Canis lupus familiaris: one gene and its partner. The protein of the gene in region 2 purifies or fractionates together with the protein of the main gene of each other region. This does not show direct contact. Links are inferred from orthologs where the notes say so. Each region holds a gene or a part of one and is shown on either strand. Other genes may lie near its edges.

Evidence for each region. Proteins that work in one complex are often made in the same cells at the same time.
Region 1: the proteins of MOS (region 2) and FKBP5 purify together in Homo sapiens (affinity purification with mass spectrometry; 3 studies listed by BioGRID and IntAct, counting the BioPlex papers as one, with this or other methods). This does not show direct contact. The link is inferred for Canis lupus familiaris from reciprocal best matches to the Homo sapiens genes MOS and FKBP5.

What each region holds. Positions count from the first base shown.
Region 1 is NC_049233.1:4,902,957-4,906,606, reverse strand, and holds part of FKBP5 (peptidyl-prolyl cis-trans isomerase FKBP5), read left to right. Parts: intron 1-218; coding exon 219-458; intron 459-1,151; coding exon 1,152-1,256; 3' UTR 1,257-3,650. UniProt on the Homo sapiens protein: Immunophilin protein with PPIase and co-chaperone activities. Component of unligated steroid receptors heterocomplexes through interaction with heat-shock protein 90 (HSP90).
Region 2 is NC_049250.1:8,009,438-8,013,771, reverse strand, and holds the start of MOS (proto-oncogene serine/threonine-protein kinase mos), read left to right. Parts: upstream 1-1,417; 5' UTR 1,418-4,050; coding exon 4,051-4,334.

The sequences.
Region 1 (3,650 bases), on a different chromosome or scaffold from region 2:
TTAAATACAGAAGTTAATTTGGATATAGTTGGTTCTACTTTGATTAGTATTTAATTACCTTGAATCTTGTCACTTCAGTAAACTTTTTCCAGTCCCCTTGGCCAGAAAAGTTTGGGAAGTTATTTAAATACTGAATTTCTTTGAAAGGTCCACAAACATGTCCACATGTAACAAAAGTTACATTCATGCTTTCTAAAATGTAGACCATCTGTCCCTAGGCGCTTGGACTAGACAGTGCCAACGAGAAGGGCTTGTACAGGAGGGGTGAAGCCCAGCTGCTCATGAACGAGTTTGAGTCGGCCAAGGGCGACTTTGAGAAAGTCCTGGAAGTGAATCCCCAGAATAAGGCTGCACGACTGCAGATCTCCATGTGCCAAAAAAAGGCTAAGGAGCACAATGAGCGAGACCGCAGGATATATGCCAACATGTTTAAGAAGTTTGCAGAACAGGATGCAAAGGTATGTGCAGAACTGCCTTTCCCTTCAGGTACATCAAAAACTGATCTTGCCCCTTTGGTTTTTGTTACAACAAGATTAAGCATAGGGCACAGGGTCAGATAGACAACCTAAGAGGCACAAGAACGGGGAAGACGATTTATGATCTGATCTGAGGCTAGTTTGGATCCAGAAGAAGAATGGGCTGTTCTACTCACCAGACGTGCAGAGTTATGAGGCACTGCATGTCTGTGAAAGGGATGAGAAAAATAAGTTCCCTAGAGACTAGGAAAACTTGCTAGTTTTTAAAAATCAGACACATCAAGTATTTTTTTAGATACTTTTCAGATATTTGTTGAGACTTCCATTTTCCCGGGCAGTGGGCCATGATAGGGAAGGCCCACCGTCAATGCCCTTTTACTTCATCACCTCCCCTACAGCAAGGTTGTGTTCAGGTCCTGAGTTCATCCTCCACTCCCCAGTCCTCTTGTCACAACACTCCCTGTGGCAAGCTAGTCCTTCCCACCGAAGAAAAGTGAAAGCTGTCCACTATGCACTGTTGTCAGCACTGCTCTGACTTACCCAACCAGGCAGCCCCAGGAAAGCCACTGTAATGCCCTCCTGTTTGAGACCTGATAAGCAGTCAGGAGGAGCCAGGAATTACCTGAATGTTTCAGTTTTTTCTCTAACCCTCTTGATATCTTATTTCTTCCTCAGGAAGAGGCCAGTAAAGCCATGGGCAAGAAGACTTTAGAAGGGGTCACCAATGAAAAAGAAGCAGAAAGTCAAGCAACAGAAGAAAAAGCCGGAGGCCATGTATGACACCACGCAAAGGAGGGAAGAGCCCTAATGAACTCGGCCCCTTCCTCCATGGGCTGTCACCCAACTCAGGACTCAACAGTGTTTCATGTAAAGTTTGTTATAGTCTGTGCGAATCTGGAAGCAAATGGCAAAACCAGTAGCTTCCCAGAAAACAGCCACCCTGCTGCTGCCCAGCGTGCTCCTTGAGAGGGTGGCATGGGACCACTCCCGGTGGAACGAAGCAGAAGTGACTATTGATGTGGTGAGATCGAACCACCAGCTAAGTCCAGCTCATTTCAGTTTGTGTCAACTTTCAATATCTAATTCAGGGTCCCTTGAGATAATCCTAACAATTTGGGCTGTCTGTTAGGTTTTACATCTGATTGAACTTTTAATAGCACTGCAGAAACCTAAAAATAAATGCTTAATGATTTTCTCCTTTCCTGCAGTTGGGTGGGAGAGAGGAGGAGGTCTTGGTTTTTAAATGACTGAAGTGCTAGCATTCGTAACCAACACAACCCATAGGGAGAGGGGTCTGGAATCCCCTCACACACTGGTTCTCCACAGTGCCAGACTCTGAAGCCAGAACCTCAGAGGCCACTTGCTTGCTGACTTTAGTCAAACTTCCTCACTAAGCCAGTCTGCTTGGGAGAGTGGGGCTCTCTGGCACCCAGCCTGGCCCTGGAGGAGGGAATCTGTCATTCCCAAAACATTCTTCAGCAATGATAATGAGCAGAGGGAGTTTCTAGATTAGCTTTCCCTGCTTTCCTTGAAGTTCTGAGATGCTGAAATGTGAAAAGAGTAATCAGAATTGTGCATTTTCCCCTCCTCTGTCTCTTGTAGGAAGTAATGTGGAGTACCGTACTGCCTGCTAGCATTGCTGCCATTCAGTTTCTGATTTTCATTCTAAACCTTGCTATATTAAGAATTTAAGACTTGTTCTTAGAATATCTCTGACCTGGAGTGGATTTATTTATATATCCACTTAGGATTCATGCAGCTTTTTTTTTTTTTTTTGTCTTTTTAAAATTACTGGCTCATAAACATGTATACTGGTTTATGGAACTTTATTTACACTCCTCTATCATACAAAAAATTTTTGACTTTTTACTACGAAGTAGCTTGATTTTTAAAAACAAAATCTGCAGAGGTGGAAAAATAAGTAGTTGCTCTTGTACGTTAAGGGTTTTCCTCGCAGGTTTGGCACGCAGCAACTTTCTTATGGCTTCTTTGTTCTGGTGTAAGTCGTGAAAAAGAATTGAAAACTGCTTCCTGTGCAGGCACATCTAGCCTAAAAGCTCCAATCCTGGGGCATTGAATCAGGGCAAATCAGAGTACGTACATGTAGTGGAATCTTGGTCCTTACGGGTAAGCGAGATTGAACATGGCCTGAGAAGCACTTGTGGGAATGCGTTTGCAATCAAAGGAAACAGTAGCTCCAACCTGGAACATCTCACTTTGTAAAATCCTAAAGAACACTGGCAGTTACTAGTTTTAACTTTTATGGTGGTTTTAGCAAAACACTTGTTAGGTTAGGACCCACATCAAAACCTAAAAATAAAATAATTTCCATTTATACCATTTTTTTCCTCCATGGAACAAGTGGAATTAAATTGTGAGTTTCTTCTTTGACAACTAGAATGCTTTTAATTCTCACTTTTGTCTTTATTCATGAGATTTCTTTTAAAAGCCCCAATCTCGCCTAGGAAATATGAAAAGCAGAAGTTGATTTTGCTTTGTTGCTTGACTGTTTAGTATTTGTAGCTCTTTTGACTAGAGCATGACTCCAGTGAGATTTGATCCTAAGGCCAGTTAGCTTTTTGCAGGTAGCAAACAAAAAAAACAGGTTCTAAAACTTAGATTATCCTAGCCAATTGTCTCCCAAATGTGTGTTATGGGTCACCAGCGGGGAATGGGCAAGAGTGTGCACAGAAGGGAGGACAGGGGGTATGCAGGTAGTTCTGAGAAAATGAGGGTGAGGTGCCCATCACCACTCAAGAAGAAGAAACTTCATATGTTCTTGTATCAAATTCAGTAATCTTAATTTGTCTAGAAACCAGTGGATGTCTTTGAACCATCTTTCAGACTGCATTTGGAGTGCTGAGGCAGCATATATGATGAATTGAAAACTTGTTTTTTAAAAAAAGAAAAACATTCAGATGCACTTTTTTGTGTTCCTTAAATAAACAACCAAACATGATTTCCCCTTATTCTTGGGTTTTGCTTAAATAGTCTTCAGAAAAAGTTGTTTTGGTTGGAAAACTAGGGTGGGGGCCAAGTTGAAGAACTACAACCTCAGAAAATTGGCTGCAGACACTATTGTCCTCCCTGCTCAGAGGCACAGCTTGAAATCAGCATTGGGCTAAAAGTGGTAGAAAGATGCATCTTTGTTCAGATGAACCAAATCAGAAAAAC
Region 2 (4,334 bases):
TGTTTAGATTGGTGATTCTAAATTAAGATATGACTATGTACAATATTCAACCTACTATTAAAAAAAAAGCTTGAGATTCGTCACATTCATTGTTTAATTCAGTAAACTTATTAAGTATTTAATATTCAGGATAGATTAGGGAGAACTTAGTGACAGCTTAGCATATATTAAATAAAGCCAATGAACTTTTGCCACTGACCCAAATTATAAGAGGCTGTATCATAATCAACCCCTATCTGTTTCAAGAAAGCAATTTTATTAACAAAAAACATACGAGCTGATAAATACTACTATTGGCCAAAGTCATGTATATGAATGGAAATATACATAAAGTAAAATTAAGGCTGCCTGGGTGGCTGAATAGGTTAAGCTATGCCTTGGGCTCAGGTCATGATCCCAGGGTCGGGGGATGGCGCCCCGCCTCAGGCTCAGTGCTAGTCTGGTTCTCCTTCCTACGCCTTCAAAGGGTTCCTTCTGTTTGTATAAGCTTTAAGCCCCCACAAAACCTGGATCTGCCCCTGGGCATATTATTTTAGAAAAACCAAAGTAGCTCTCCAGGCTTCTGTACGGACATGGGAACATACATAATTCTTGCTGACCATAAAATTCAAACTTCATAATATTAATTAATAATATAATTCCACTTAAGTAAAAAAAAATTTAAAGTTTTTCAACTTTATAGTTTTTATTTTTAGCAAAGCACGTCTTCACTTATTATTTTAGCTCCAAAAAAAAAAAAAAAAAAAGGCAAAAGTTTATTTTCGACTTCGACTGATGCTTGCAAACAGCAGCAGTACAACCCTTCGAGCCTTCGAGGACTGCAGGGCGCCCCCTCCTTGGCCTTCGGACTTTCTGGGGTCGGGCTGTAACCGGAGATCCCGGGCGGCGGGTCCCGAGGCGCGCACGCGCAGACGCGGCCCGAGGGCTCGACGTGGGCGTCAGCGGGCGAGGGCGCGCCGTGCGGGCTGGAGTTGCACGGCCTCTTAAAGATGTCTCCCGGAAGGCTACGTGATGATGCTGAGCGCACGAAGATGCACTTCTGTGCGCGCAGGGGGCACGGGCACGCCGCAGCGGGGCGCAGTGAGCCCGGGCACAGGCCGCCTCGGCGGGACGGCCGGCCACGTGCTTCCCCGCGCCCGGGAGGCTGCGCGCCGACCCCAGGGCCGGGAGGCCTCGGGCAGCTCGCCCACGGCGTCCTCGTGCCCGCCGCCTGCGCACGGCCGCGCGGGACGGCGCCCTCCCGAGCCCCGGAGCCGAGGAAGACCCTGCGCGAGCCGCGAGGTTGTCTCCCGCGAGCCGCGCTCCTCCCCGTCTGCCGCTGAAGCGGAGTTCAGCGCGCTGCCCCGCCGCCGCCCCGCCGCTGTCCGCCGCCGCCGCCGCCGCCGCCCCGCCGCCGCCACAGCTGCGGATGCGTACGCCGAGCCTTGCCTGAAACCCACGCAGCTCCCCACAGGCGTGCTGCCAGGCGGAGCAGAAAACGGAAAGCCTTTAAGAACCGGAGAGCCTTCTGCTCCTCACCGGGTGCCCCCAGTCTGGTTCATTTGCACTTCTAGGAGACAGTGCCTACCCTGTCATTAACGAATATTCTTTGCCTTTATTTGCTATGACGAGATGACTGCATTTGATCAGATAAATGTTGACCCTCTGCATTCCTAGTATATAACAATAAGGCAATATACTCTTAACATATCTAACCTCAAATAAAATTTAAGTTAGAAGACCAGTCAGACTTCGGTTTAGCTTAAGTAATGAGTCACTTCAGCCCTAGCAGGGTACGCTTTTTTATTTTTTTTAAGAATTTTTATTTATTTATTCATAGAAACAGAGAGAGGGGCAGAGACACAGGCAGAAGGAGAAGCAGGCTCCACGCAACAAGCCTGACGCGGGACTCGATCCCGGGTCTCCAGGATCACACCCCGGGCTGCAGGCGGCGCTAAACCGCTGCGCCACCGGGGCCGCCCAGCAGGGTACGCTTTGACACCGTCTTAACAAATCTGTTTCTTACAGCATAAGCCCATATACACTTTATGAGTTTCATAAATGATAATTAGCAATTAGGAATTACTTATCATGTCCTGATCTAAGTATTTGCTGTGAATACTGACAGCAGTCCTCAGGCAGATTTTCCTCGTCTTACAGATAAGGAAACTGAAGGATAGTAAGAAACCCAGGCAATCTGGCCCCAGAGGCTGTTTTAAAATGGATATTCAACGAAATACTCTTGAGCAGATTGGCAGATGCTAGATATAATGAACTTGGGGCTTGTGAATGTAGAGTGCCACATTTTCATTAATACCTTGTATCTTATATAAGTAATAAAATCAACCTTTGTAAAATGAATTACCTATGCTCTTAGCTTAAACATAAAGATTATATAACAAGTCACATCATTTTGCAAAGAAGGTTATGACACTCTTTTGATCAATATAGCATTCCTAATACCATAAAAGTTTCGGAGACCTAAATTATAATGCCAACTATGTGATGACTATTAAATAAATTTTGTAATAGACTTACTGTAGAATATAATTTTATTACTTTCTTATTTTACTCTCTTCACTGTCATTCTTTTATATTTTGGTTTTGATTCAACTGCCTTTCTACTAATATATTTTATAATATACATTTTTAGACTTTCTTTATTTGTACAGGGCTCCCGAACTTTTATTCCAAAATTAAAAAGTTTATTATTATCCTAATTTCTTAACTGAAAAAAAAAAAAACCAAGGCTCAAACAGATTAAATATTACACACAATATCTAAGGCAGATGGGTAGTATAGACTAGAAATCCTACCCTAGGGCCCAACAGACTTCAAATGGTTTATGTAAATGGCTTGTGTTTATTCACATATCTTCTCAGAATCAATATATCTCAGAAACAGACCTCTTTTATAAAAATGAAGGTGGTTAAACATCACCTATATGCTAAGTACAATAAGTTAAAACAGAATTTTACCAATTTTTTAAAAATATGGATCCTAACACCTTCCTATGTTTTTTAATCAACAGGTTAGTATTATTGGTCTTTTCCTCAAATATGGAATGCAAATTAGTGGGAGGTGGGGAGTTATAAAAACTAGAAAGAAAGAACTTATGGTTGAGTAGCAAGACTCATTTATTTTTAACATCTGGGTTTCCACATTATATATAGGCAGTGGTGATTCTGTGCCATTTTTATTCGGATTTTTCCTCTTCTAGGATTCTCTCATATTTGTTATTCTTTGAAGCTCTGATTATGGCTCTGAATCTGAATTTTTTTTCTCCCCCAACTCTGTTTCAAAACTTCTGTAACTCATTTGCCATGAAGTCTAAGATCTCTCTTGCAAGTGAGCTTACTGGGTGGGCCAAACTGCCATGGAACAGGACTGTTAGGAAGTCGATATGTTGCTAAGAAATCTTGCTAATTTGCTATATGAGCTGAATGGAGTGTCAGAGAATTTTCCTTTCCCCTGATGACCTTAGGAGGTGTATGTTTTGACCTGTATTAGTGATTGTATTTGGATCAATTACTTTAAGGTTACAATTTTTTATCCATATATGAATGTTGCACCTAATTATCCCCATAATCGGCTAAACAAATGTCAGCTGTTCGTATTTCAAATATTTCTGCCAATAACTGCTGGAAGTGATTTAATGCAGCTGGAGAATAACACTGACAATCATTATAGCCTGCAAAATGTGAAATAATTTCATTGCACTATATAGTCTCTTTAGTCTGAACACTGATCATGTTCAGTGGATGACACTTAAAAAAAAAGCTGTTTTTTTTTATAATTAAATAATAAATAATGGAAAAAGGGGGTGAGTCCACAGGCAGCTCACTGCTGTTTATCTGGCGAACTCTTCTGGGTGGAGAGCTTATTTTTATAAAAAGTCACTTTAAGTGTTGAAGGGAAATATTTTCATCTAAAAAGGAGGATTGTACTTCATTCAGACTGCTTCCGCTCATCTGATAAAAACCCTTGTGAGTAACAGCACAGACACGGCTCATTTGGGGAAAATGAAGGAAGAGGAGAAAAGCGCTGGGCGGAGCAAAGGAGGAGTCAGAGATGCTTCCAAACTCGTGGGACCCTCTTCTTTTGGTTTACCTGAGCCACTTTGGGGTCCACTTTGAAGGTGCCATGCCCTCACCTCTTTCCCGGCACAGTTACCTCCCCAGTGAGTTTTCTCCCTCGGTGGACTCGCGGCCCTGCAGCAGCCCTTCTGAGCTCCCAAGTAAAGCAGGGAAGCTCTTCCTGGGTGGCACTCCTCCCAGGGCTCCAAGGCTACCACGTCGGCTGGCCTGGTGCTCCATCGACTGGGAACAGGTGTGCTTCCTGCAGAGGCTGGGAGC